Caenorhabditis elegans: one gene and its partners. The protein of the gene in region 2 interacts with the protein of the main gene of each other region in a pairwise test. Each region holds a gene or a part of one and is shown on either strand. Other genes may lie near its edges.

Region 1 (4,929 bases), on a different chromosome or scaffold from region 2:
ATATGTGAACTTATTGAGTGCCTTCTGTTTATACAATTTGGATTGTTTAAATAATTATGAAATTTCATTTTTTCGATAAACATTGCAATTTTATTATATTTTTATAACAATAAAAATATGTGAACTTTTTGAACTATTTTGATTGTTTTAAATGGATTTTTTCAAGAGTCTCAATTATTTTCAGAAATTTTTAATAAATTATATTTAACAAAATAGATCAGTATAGACACTCTTGATGAATATCAGATGTTTCAGCAGTTGACAACATTGAAAGACATAACACTAGATCAAAAGTATTCAATTTTAATAGTTTTGGATACGCCACATTAATAAAATAATTTGCTGCAATAAAGTTTTAAAAAAACTTGATAAAATTTGGTGCTTATACGATTAATCACATACGTCACTGTTTACACCTTTCTTAATCCAAGATTTATTTATGTACCTACGTCTATTTTCGAATAGCTGAAAACAACTTTTCTATTTCAGTATACATATTTATATTTCAGATTGTTAATAACACTGCCATCAAACTCTTATAACAGGTAAATTTTAAGGTACTTAATACATACCGTATTTTAGAATATTGTTCAGATATCCCACAGCAAAAAAAAACAATCTGATTTGGATACCTCTCAAGAAATAACAAAAGCTTCTCCAAGCTGGCATATCTAATTTCAAATCTTTTTCCCTTTTTTCCGGACCCACACCCAATTTTCTCCTTCTTCTGTCCTCATCTCCGCTTTTCGACACTTCTCACAGATACACACACAAATACACGCACGGAGCCCTTCTTCTTCGTCCATCTAGGGACACCCGTCCCTTGCTCTCCGTTTCCATCTCCTTGCGTCCTATTTCTCATGTCTGACCGGCTGTCCATTACAAGCGAGTCTGTCTCCAACAAAGACAACACTATGTCTCGTTCTCTTTTCTCCGTTTTGGTTTCATCTCACTTTCTGTGTCTCTCTCACTTCTCTTCCTTTCTCAACAAAACGGGCGCATACCCTTTTACGGGGGGTGGGACCTTCTTCTCTTCGTCTCTTCTATGAATGTCCCTCGATTTTCGCAGATCAGCAAAATGATTCGGACAGGAAACTTAATTTCCCGGAGTTCTAGATTTTGTTCATTTATTTAAAAAAAACGTTTTTGTCTCGGAGAAATATCGTTTTGTGATCGGACAGAACAAGGGATAGGCACGTGGTTTGTGAGCGAACGGAAAACAGTAAAGTCTGTCAATATTGCTTTTGCTCGGCTTTATACTTTTTTATTCCTTGGTGAACAAAAATCTTTCACAATTTTCCCTTTTTCCTCTTTTCTTGTAATTTGGGTAATTTTCATTCAAACGCCTATAATATTTACGATAATTGAAAATTCAAAAAAAATTTCTTCAATTGGAGTTGGATTATCGTACCTAAATTATTCTTGAATAAGCGATCAAAGTAATTTCGCTTTCCTGCTAACTTCATCCGATTTTCTTCATTTTTTAAAGCTGCGATATGATTCGAACCTTTTTTTTGTCAAACTTTCAAATATTTTGTGACAAAAAGTAAGGATAAATGTTAAATTATTGCAATTTTCTTTCAAATCTTAAAAAAATCAAGAAAAATCCCACTGGCGCTACGTTCAAAATCACATCTGCGCATATACTAAGCCTGTGATCTTAAAATTTAGTTATTGTTTCATGGTTTTCTTTTCCTTCAATTTTCCTCATATTTCCTGAATGCACATAATTGCAGAGAAATTGACGCCTCAGAGTTTCTCTGTTATTTTTTTTTCTAAATGCCACAGTTAAATTTTTCAGATCACTAATGATGAGAATCAATCTATCCACAATATTTAACCAATTTTATTAACTTTCCAAAGAATATCCAAATGTCGTTCTTCTTGCGAGAAATTGATGGTGAACGAGTGTGTTCCACGAGCACCGAAACGTCGATTCCTGAAGATAGGAAAAGTGCACGAAGACTGAGAAAATTGCTATACAAATGTGCCGAGAACACATGCAAACCGGATATTCTCAGGGTTCCAGCACATTGCGGGAAACTCGATAAAGAAGAAGGTTAGTATATTTTTTTGTAGTTTGGAGAAGTATAAAATAATAAAAATAAAAATAATTTTTAATTTCAGAGAAATCCAAAACACCTCTGGACCAGCAACAACAAATTAATTTTCATGATATTCTGAACTCAAAATTTGTTGTGGGACCACCTTCGCCTTTTGCTTTAGTAGCAATTGCCAAATCAATTCTTGCACGGTTTGGGAATCCAGAAGAAGTTTCTGAAAAAGAAGATGGAAGCGAAGAGGAAGCCGGAACCAGTGGAGCTGATGAAGAGGGAAAGCAATACAAAAATGTGAGTTTTTATAATGTTAAAAAGTATTAAATGAAAAATACATTGAAATTTCTAATTAAGTTTCAAAGTCAACAGCCAAATTTTTTCTAAATTTTTTTTCGAAACGTAGTTAAGAAGCTTGCAAAACTGGGACATAGGTCGGCAAGGAAACCAGAAAAAACAATTATGAAACCGTGTTTTACACATTGACGATATCCCCCCAGCTAGATTCAAAATTGTTTCCTTTTTAAACGCTAAAAATAGAATATGGTTTGAAAAATAATTATTTGAAATTGAACCGGTGAGTAATAAAACAATTTTGGAATACTAAATTACCATAAATTTCAAAATGGAACTGAACATATAACTCTACAACTTTTTGGAACCCGTGTGTGAAATACTTTTTCTTATTAAAAACTGTTTTAAAAGGTGAAAAATGGTTCAGCTCTCATGAATTTTCAGACTGATCAGCTGGTTGGAGCTAGTTTAACATGTATCTTCGAAGTTCTCGAGCAATTAAGTCGACGTGACGCCGAACTTTGTGTTCAAGCTCTCGAATCATTGTTATCATTGATCCAATCGATGCCAATCGATTGTCTTCAGTCCGAAAACCGTTTATCAATGTCTGCAATGATGCACGTTCTGAAAACGCTTCGAGAAGATGCCTGTCCCTCAGTGAGCTCAAAAGCTACCTCATGCCTTGTGGCTTTATCAGTTGCATGTGGAGAGCCGGAGCATTTAGGAAGCACAATTCGATCATTAATTTGTATGAAGAAAAATATTCGAATGAGCGCCGATTCGACGTATGATATGATCCAAATGCCAGAAAATTTGAGAAAATTACTACTGAAAGTGAGGAGGAAAGCTTTAGGCGGAGACAACACTGCCAATTCCCCGTGAGTATTTTATTCAAGTTGAAAGTATTCAAATATGTAGTATTGTGTTCACAAATTTCTTCTTTTAGTAGAATTTCTTAGAAGCTTGCAAAATCCCATGATAGTTTTATTAGTATTTTATTAAATGCAAAATTTCAGACCAAACTGGGCAATGGTAGATGTTCACGAGCACTCGGTAGCAAGCAGTTTCAGTCTACCTAGTCTTCCTGATAGCTCTCCGTCTTCCGACACTCCCGACGATGACAATCGAATACATAGCACAATGGCATGTGATGGAACATTTCTCTACATTCTTAATTATGTTGGACTCTACAAGTTGGGGACCGGCCTGAATGAAACAATTTCTGGAAAGTTGTATGCAGCGAATCAGAGTTTACAATCGTCGAAAAATGTGCAAATGTATTTATGCAATGGATCATTGTATTTACGAAGAAATTACTCATCATGCATATCAGTGATTGACACGGATTCATTGTTGGATATTGGAGAAGTGATTCTACCACCAAGTTGTGTACAACATGCACTGTTCACGGATGGAACATACTTTTACAGTGCAACTCTGATTGCCAATTCTACACTATCGGTAGGATTTATTCTCTCAAATTAAAAATTAAGATATTTAATTGAAACTATTTTTAAACACTTTTAATCGTGAAAATTCTACTTATTGTTAGAAATAAAAACACATAACATGACAGCTCAAAAAAGTTTATAAATAACATATTTCAGACAATTCAACTAAATGATTCATTTTCCCCTTCCAATGAGCCATCATCACGAAGAAGTCATCGACTCACTGATGTGAAGTTCACGATTCAAGGAGATCTTCAAGTTCCTCACCAACTCCCCGAATTTCTACCTGCAAACCTTCATCGTAAGAATAGTAGTTTTGTTTACATGGAAATTTGAACATATCAATTTTCAGCTCAAACTGTTGATCTTCACTTCACTCGAGAAATGGCATTCATTCAAGCTCGCTCTGGAAAAGTGTACTACGCTGGAAACGGGACAAGGTTCGGATTATTTGAAACTGGGAACAACTGGATGGAACTGTGTCTTCCCGAGCCAATAGTTCAAATTTCTGTTGGAATTGATACAATAATGTTTCGTTCTGGTGCAGGGCATGGTTGGATTGCAAGTGTAGACGATAAGAAAAGAAATGGAAGACTACGTCGACTTGTTCCATCTAATCGCCGGAAAATTGTTCATGTTTGCGCCTCTGGTCATGTCTATGGATATGTATCTGAAAATGGAAAGATTTTCATGGGAGGACTTCATACAATGAGAGTGAATGTTTCAAGTCAAATGTTAAATGGACTGGATAATGTGATGATTTCTTCATTAGCGCTTGGAAAATCTCACGGTGTTGCTGTGACTCGAAATGGCCATCTTTTTACATGGGGATTGAACAATATGAATCAATGTGGAAGAGTTGAATCAACTTCAACCACGTCTTCTCCAAGACATTCCGGTCGTCAAGAGTATCAGATTTGTCCTATCGGAGAACACACGTGGCTAACTGACACACCCTCGGTATGTGCTCAATGCGGGCTTTGCTCCGCACGAGGAGTAGCATGTGGAAGAGTTCCTCGACCAAAGGGAACCATGTGTCATTGCGGTGTTGGAGAGTCAACATGCCTTCGATGTGGACTTTGCAGACCATGTGGAGAGGTTACAGAACCAGCACAGCCTGGTAGAGCTCA
Region 2 (4,523 bases):
ATTTTTATTTCCATGCGGAGTTTCTGATGATATTTTCTTCATTTTTATTCTAGAATTTCATGATCAATTATATCTCACTAATATTTAATCTTAATTACAGATGCTCCGTTCACTGGTATCCAGTGTGACGACGGGTCCGACTCCAGAATGGGCCGGGAGAATTCTAATGGCCTTCAGTGGACATATCAGTCAGCAGAGAGGTCGCAGAAGAACATTGACCCCAGCTCCATGGCTTCCGCCAGTCAAAGAGAGTGTGCCGAAAAGCAGTGTGGGTATTAGCCAGGGGACAAAGTAAGTTGCATTAATTCTTACCTGTTTAGCAAACGTTTTTGTTCAGAAATCTGCTTGAAACCGTAATTGAGAAAGAAACTCTTGCGGCGTCCACCATTGCATTTCAAAATTCTCAAGAAACCAATGTCTCAGTTGTTGACATTCCAGATTCATCAAGACGTGTGGGTCTGGTTGTCCGCAAAATCGGAATGCTCCCACAATGGACAAATGAAGGAAACCGAATTCTGTGCACTGTGCTTGAAGTTGATGAAAATCATGTTGTCAGTATTACATCACCAGAGGCTTGGTATAAATCGTCAGCCGTCGGAAAAAGAAAGGCTTTCAATCGTCACGGTCCTATGTGGAGAGTTACAGTGGGTGCCGGAAATGATGATCCAACAAAATACACGCTTGGGTACCGTAGGCAATTTGTTCGCGCAGGAATTCCAGTGAAAGGTTGGGTTTTTTTTGTGTTTTGCTCCGCTTTTCGATAGTCCTTCACCGTAAATTCATGGTTAAAAAAATAAATTCAGAGAAACTCGGATGTTTCCTGGTAACAGAAGACGCTCTCCCCAGTGCTGGACAGCCACTTGATGCCCGTCACTTCGGAGTTGGTCAATATGTAACTGCTACTGGAAAAACTATTGACTGGGGATTCCAGGTAATTTTTTTCAATTTACAATAGTCTAAAACTTCCAAAATTTCCCTTGCAAGCCAAGGAGCAAAATAATCTCTCAACCCTTGCGAAATATTTTCGAAACTAGTCGTTTTCAGGGTGGAATGCATCGATGGGGAATGCGTGGACAACCGACAAGACGTACCACAAAATCACATCGTAGAATTGGTTCCGTTGGTTCAGTCGGCGATGCTCGAATTTGGCCAGGAAAACGTATGCCGGGACATATGGGTTATGAGTGGAGGACTGTTTCTGGTTTGGAAGTAAGAAATTGCTCTCGATTTTAATTTTCAATTCATTTATTTAAGATTGTTCGAATCAATGTAGATAAACAAGTAATTTATGTGAAAGGAAGTGTACCTGGTGATATTGGAGAAACAATTCTACTTAAAGATTGCTTACAAGAAGAAAAACGTCTGAAATCCGGCCCAATGCCAACATGGGCTCCATCACTAGAAACCATCGAAGAAGAACCGGAGACAGAACCCGAAGAAGGCACAATTCCCAAAAATCTTCTTTTCAACGAAAAATTCTCGCCCAAACTGTTCCGTTTCACATCTCCATCCATTTTATTCACTGATGCCGACGCCAAGAAGGCCACTGGAAGAGATAAAACGAAAGCTAAGATTGCAAAAGTTAAAAAGTAATGGTGTATCTAATTTTATGATATATTACGGTTTTCCTTTATCGTTTTTTGTCGAAATTCGGTTTATTAGAATTTTTGTTCCGTAGATTTATAGATTTTTCATTGTTTTGCATTGTTTTTGTTTGTTCTGAATACCAAAAAGCAGAGTTTATATTCAATTATTTGTTGATTTTTTTCCAAACCGGTCGTTTACCGAGATTTACTTTATTTCTTAACATTATGCATTCTGAAACTTGGATTCTCAATTTGAAGCGAATGACAAGACTGTGGTGAGCTGGTTAATCGAGAAGTATGGCTGAAAACGACGGGGAAACGATTGTTCCAGACGAACAGTGCAATTTGACGGCCTCAACGCCTATGAAAAGTAGTGGGTTGGAAGTGAGTTGCTTTCTTTTTTCAAAATACTGTTTTTGAAACTTGAATTTTTCAAACTTCAAAGCTAGACAATATTTTTAAAAAATTGTTTATGAAAACAAGCTATAAAATAATAAAAAAGGGAAATATATTAAATTTTCAGCAAGTGGAAAGCCCGAAAGAACGAAAAACTTCAATGGTGGAATGTGATGACGAAGGGAATCCATCATCAGGAACCCCAGATGAATCACCAAAACAATTGACTCCGCATAGCATTCCCCCAAGACGACGACGTTCTCCACGACGCCCGGAAGTGTCAGCTTCTAGACTTCCTCTGAAAGTACTGAATCAGATTTTTCAGTATTTACCATTGAAAGGTAAACATATAACATTTTCCCCCTTGAAGTTACATGGCTCTGTTTTCAGACCTACGATCTGCAATGCTAACCTGTCATAGTTGGAATAACGCTCTTTCAATGGAAGACAGTGACATATGGCAGTACCTTCTTGGCAAGAAGCTTCCAGAAGCAGCAGTTTCCGATCCCTTCCTGCTCGCCGAGCTGGGATCTGCAAAAAAGAAGCTGAGAGCCTGGTATTTTGCCTGGAATACGAGCGATATTTCAAGAAATAACTACATCCGTACCAACGGTTTCACTGTTCACCGGCAGCCAGTTGCTCAGTCAACAGACGGTGTCCGTGGAAAACGAGGGATTTCAAAAGGAGTACACGCATTTGATATAACTTGGGATGGACCGTTGGGAACTGTAGCCGTTGTTGGTATTGCTACTAAGTGAGTAGTTAATTTATTTGAAAATTTAAAGATATATCTTTAACATTTTCAGACATGCTGCTCTTCACTGTGTTGGCTATGTTGCTCTCCTCGGATCAGATGATCAATCATGGGGATGGAATCTTGTAGATAATGTTTTGATGCACAATGGAGCACAGCTTGGTGTTTATCCAAAAATGAACAATCCTCCGAAATATGAGGTATTTCACTAAAAAAATTCAGTTATAAGCCGATGCAAGCAAATATATTTCGTTCTAGGACGAAACAACGGTATTGGGCCACAATTTTACAAAATACGACGTTCTTGTTTTATAAAGTTGTTTAATATGTGAAAAAGTTCAATTTTTCATCTCTAACAATTTAAGAAACATGAACGTCATGGTAAAATCGCATGACGAGTTTTTTTTGAGTTGTCGAGAAATTTCCAATAATTAACTTTTTCTGTATATCTGCATTGTGAAAAGTGCTAGAAATTCAAACCATTTTTTTTATTTCCTCGGCTAGAATTCACAATATTCAAACTTCGATAAATTGAAACAATTATTTTCCATTCACTAAAACTGTACAGAAAAGAAAAATTATATTTTTTAACAAAGTGAAATTTTAAAAATTTAGAACAAGTTTTTTTGTTGTTTTTTTTTTTTAATATTTAACTTCCTGAAAAATTATATTTTGAAATAATGGTTTAAAATCTTCGAATAAACTAATTAGTTAAAAACTGAAATAATCCTTTTTCCAGGTCGGCGATAAAATCCGCCTAATAATCGACTGTGACACCCATGTCGCTTACTTTGAACGAAACTCGGAATTTCTCGGAATCGCATTCAACCATATTCCCCCATTACGTCTCTATCCGGCTGTCTGTGCGGTTTATGGCAACACAGAAGTGACAATGGTGTATGTTGGAAGTCCACAAATGGGTTGAAGACGTTCGCTAGAGCGTATATTCTGACTTCTGCGCGCGTATTTATTCGCCACTCAAAATGTAATTATTCACATGTTTTCATCGCTTGTCTCATATTTCTACTGTTATTATAATTTTCAGAAAAATATGAAAATTATTTAATTCTGATATTAAACTTTACCTGTAATTAAAACACTCATAATAGATCTTTTTCCCGCACGCTTTCCTCTCACACACTTTCTCATTCCCATATTGATCTCTTTTATTGCTTATCGAGCTTTTCTAGTCACTTCGTGATAATTGGTCCATTTCTCAATGAAGCTTTTTCGTCGCTTTATAATAATATTATATGCTTTTTAAATTGTTTATTCGGTTTTTTCTTTGTAAAAATCCGCTAAATACCTATAGTTTTTCTTGAATTCTTTTTTCCTAATCATCAACTTTTTCAGCCTCATATCAGAATCACTGTACGTCGCCGGCAAAAATGATGTACGATGATGAGGATGAGATGGTTAATGACCCGATGGACGGAGACTATATCGATGATTCGGATGAAATCAGTGCAGAAGCATGGCAAGAAGCATGTTGGGTTGTTATCAGTGCTTATTTCGATGAAAAGGTATTTTTGATTATAAAATCATGAAAGAATCTCTTTTTTGAAGGGTCTCGTTCGTCAACAACTTGATTCCTTCGATGAATTCGTCCAAATGAATGTGCAGCGAATTGTTGAGGATTCTCCGCCAGTCGAACTTCAATCAGAAAATCAGCATCTTGGCACAGATATGGAAAATCCTGCGAAATTCTCATTGAAATTCAATCAAATTTACCTCTCGAAACCAACTCACTGGGAGAAAGACGGAGCACCAATGCCAATGATGCCTAA
Region 3 (3,439 bases), on a different chromosome or scaffold from region 2:
AAGAGATTAGACATAAAATCATTTGATATTAACAATCCATAAAAGTTATATGGTTCTTATTACGTAGACGTCCATAGTTGCGAATTTTCACCACAATTTACGCGCAACGTCTCGCCATTCCGGCAACGGGTTACTGTAACTCGCGTAAATAAATTGTATTATATCATATTGTTATTTTAACAATCATGACATAAATTTTGCATTTATATCTGATAAAATTATATTGCAATAGCGGTCCTTAGAGGTCTGCGTAATAATATTTAATTTAGTATCAAAATATTGTTTTAGATTACGATGGAGATGAACTTCTTGGACATGATGATTTGAGTAAAATGATTCGAAGTTTAACAAGAGATGAGCTGAGTGATGTAGAAGTTGAATTTATAATTGAACGAATTATTGAAGAAGCTGATTTGGATGGAGACTCGAGTATAAACTTCGCAGAATTTGAACACGTTGTCTCTCGATCACCTGACTTCATTAGAACTTTTCATATCAGAATTTAAATACATTCACGGGTTATATTTTTTTCAATGTTTTACATAAATCGTTTGTTTTTTGTATCGTCTCATCAACTTTATTTTTAGGCATGTACAATCACGTAAAGGACACACTGATGTTCATTGGAGGAAATGTGTGAGAATCTCACACTGCATAATTTTTGCCGGTCGGTGATTTATAGGTATAAATATAGAATGGCGGTTAAAATTCAAAAGATGCATTTTAATTAGGTGAAAAAAGGAAGAAGTTTTTGGGCTGCCAGAGATGATGTAAAAAATAGACAGAGACCATATCAGGACAATGTGTGAAGTGTGAAGGGGAAGGAAGCGACATGTCGTTTAGAAATGTAATAGAGAAATAGGCAAACTGAAGGGTAATTTAATCCTCGCACCAGGCATTCTCTTTGCGGATTTGCTCTTCCTCTTCCGGGGTGAAGTCGTTCTTGATGTTGAAAGTGCGACGAATCTCTTCTGGAGATTTTCCCTTGATCATGTTAGCAACAGTCTTGCAGGTAACATCAAGAAGTCCCTTGATGTCCAAATAGTTGGCAGCCTAAAAATATGAATTTCAAATATTGGAACTAAAATAACAAGTTACCAAGATGAGCTCGAAAAGGGTTCCTTGGTCAACCTTAAGAAACTCGACGTCCCAGCTGCCTATGTCGTCAGTTCTTTTCTCGCGGTTATCGGAATCTTCAGTCGAGATAGGATCGGAGTGATGATGGTTGCACCAACTAATGACCTTCTTCAGAATCGAGGCAGTGACGTTTTGAACTGGAATTGGCTCAGCGTTGGTTCCTTCTTCGTCGTCGAGTCCAAGATCCATCAGGAGAGTGTTGATAGTGTTTGAGAGACGGATCACATTGCGTGGGACCTGGAAGTTTAGTTTGTGAATTTTCAAATATAGTGGAACATTTAACATTGTCTATTTTTCTATAAGTCAGATCACCTAGGATACCAAGAAGCAAAACTCTACGCGCGCATGCATGCAGCACGGCTTATCGATTTAGTTTTTTTAGACAAAAATAACGAAAACGAAGGAATAATTTGAATCTTACCAAGAAGATTTCGTTATCCGAAGACGATATCTTGATTTCGCGTTCCTTTGCCGCCTCGGATACTTTCTTTTGATCAGCCATCGCGTTGAAATCGATTGAAATTGAGAAATTATTGTGAAAAGAACGATTACATACAAATAATAAAGAAGAACAGGTAGAAAAAAAAAAGAACGATTAAGAGTATTTCCATCGAGAAAAATTAAAAGTTTTAAATTTTCCAACGCAAAATACCTGCAAAACAAAGAAAAACAACGAAAAATAGAATGAGAACGTTGAGAAATGAGCGAATAGAATGTGAGTGTGTCGTATGATGCGAGAGAAGCGAGGAAACAGTGTAGAGAAGCGAGGAAACAGTGTACACACAAAGGAAGAGACGCAGAGTTATCGATCGTTATAGAACGCAATGCGGGAACGAATTGACAAATATGACAATTTATTGGATGGACAAAGTCTTTAAAAAAATACTAGAAAGATAATGGAGGAACGGTATATTTACTAAATTTCGAGTTGCAGATATTCAGAGATAATGTTTTTTAATTATATAAAATTAAAAAGAGAGCGGACGGCGTACATAATATAGTCTTTTCAGCGAATATCGGCACTCGATTTTTGATAGATAGAAAAAGGAGAATATCAGGAAAAAAAAAATGAAAGAAATGGAAAAAATAGATCTCGTTTTAAAGATATCGCAACTTTCAGTTAAATGCGGGGATTTAGCAGCGTCAGGCGCAATATGCGATAAAGTCATGTAAATACATTACTTGAATAACCCCATTCGCAATTAATCACAGAAAGTAATTTTCATTCACACGATCCGTAGCTTTTAAAACTGAGAAAAGTATTGTTTTTTTATTTATTTCGAAATCTACGCGCGCGGAAAACGAAGCAACTTTGGCCTAGAATTTCACATCTCGTCATCTTCCATTTCAAAAGTGAAGGATCTATAGTCCTGTTCAGACTAAAAAATACTATTGCTGTGGCTTTAAAACCAATTGCATTGTTTGCAATTTTCATGTTCACATCAACTTTATTGAATGAAAAACAGAACTGTACACAGTTGTGTCAGCTGGCAGTGAAGAAATTTGTTAACAATTAAAAAGTGCGTTTAATAAGGGGAAAGATATGGTGGATGATGTGAAACATTTAGAAAACAAGGTAATTGAAAGTTTAACAGGGGAAAAGATGGAGATTTAATCATCGCACCAGGCGTTTTCCTTACGGATTTGCTCTCTCTCCTCTGCAGTGAAGTCGTCCTTGATGTTGAAAGCACGACGAATTTCATCTGGAGATTTTCCCTTGATCATGTTGGCGACAGACTGGCAGGCGACATCAAGAAGTCCTTTGATGTCCAAATAGTTGGCAGCCTGAAAATAGGAATTTAAAATATTGCAACTAAAATAACAAGTTACCAAAATGAGCTCGAAAAGGGTTCCTTGGTCAATATCGAGAAATTTTTTGTCCCAGTCTTGGATGGAACCATCCGTTTTCTTCTCACTGTCTTCAGTTGGAATTGGGTCGGACTGGTGTTTGGTGCACCAGTTGATAACCTTCTTCAAAATCGAGGCAGTGACGTTTTGCACTGGAATTGGCTCAGCGTTGGTTCCTTCATCGTCGTCGAGCCCGAGGTCCACAAGAAGAGTGTTGAGAGTGTTTGAGAGACGGATCACATTGCGTGGGACCTGGAAGTTCAGATTGCAATTTTTCCCATGCCATCTAGCGTACAGTGCCGCTTTTTTTGTTGATTTATTAAAAATCAACTAGGCTACTAAACATTTTCTATAAGAACTGCGAAAGCGTCTTATCGACCCGAAGCCTAGTTTTTCAGATAAAAATGACAATAACAAACGAATTTCAGCTTACCAAGAAGATTTCATCATCCGA

What was found.
Region 1: the proteins of fsn-1 (region 2) and rpm-1 come close enough for resonance energy transfer, tested with the Caenorhabditis elegans proteins (one study listed by BioGRID).
Region 3: the proteins of fsn-1 (region 2) and skr-1 interact in binary tests that used the Caenorhabditis elegans proteins (3 or more experiments, as listed by UniProt).

What each region holds. Positions count from the first base shown.
Region 1 is NC_003283.11:8,816,899-8,821,827, reverse strand, and holds the start of rpm-1 (E3 ubiquitin-protein ligase rpm-1), read left to right. Parts: upstream 1-1,872; coding exon 1,873-2,059; intron 2,060-2,127; coding exon 2,128-2,351; intron 2,352-2,792; coding exon 2,793-3,226; intron 3,227-3,364; coding exon 3,365-3,809; intron 3,810-3,955; coding exon 3,956-4,100; intron 4,101-4,151; coding exon 4,152-4,929.
Region 2 is NC_003281.10:4,935,478-4,940,000, forward strand, and holds fsn-1 (F-box/SPRY domain-containing protein 1), read left to right. Parts: upstream 1-1,844; 5' UTR 1,845-1,883; coding exon 1,884-1,970; intron 1,971-2,109; coding exon 2,110-2,323; intron 2,324-2,372; coding exon 2,373-2,736; intron 2,737-2,788; coding exon 2,789-2,936; intron 2,937-3,475; coding exon 3,476-3,661; 3' UTR 3,662-3,976; downstream 3,977-4,523. Other genes in the region: mrps-18C (Large ribosomal subunit protein uL3m), read left to right, coding at 101-291, 338-726, 804-931, 1,045-1,209, 1,255-1,593; rpb-2 (DNA-directed RNA polymerase II subunit RPB2), read left to right, coding at 4,125-4,259, 4,303-4,523. UniProt on the Caenorhabditis elegans protein: Component of a SCF (SKP1-CUL1-F-box protein) E3 ubiquitin ligase complex which is required for the restriction and/or maturation of synapses in GABAergic neuromuscular junction (NMJ) presynaptic neurons.
Region 3 is NC_003279.8:9,469,764-9,473,202, reverse strand, and holds skr-1 (Skp1-related protein), read right to left. Parts: upstream 1,654-3,439; 5' UTR 1,640-1,653; coding exon 1,559-1,639; intron 1,375-1,558; coding exon 1,099-1,374; intron 1,054-1,098; coding exon 880-1,053; 3' UTR 558-879; downstream 1-557. Other genes in the region: calm-1 (EF-hand domain-containing protein), read left to right, coding at 289-506; skr-2 (Skp1-related protein), read right to left, coding at 2,749-2,922, 2,968-3,237, 3,419-3,439. UniProt on the Caenorhabditis elegans protein: Probable essential component of SCF (SKP1-CUL1-F-box protein) E3 ubiquitin-protein ligase complexes, which mediate the ubiquitination and subsequent proteasomal degradation of target proteins.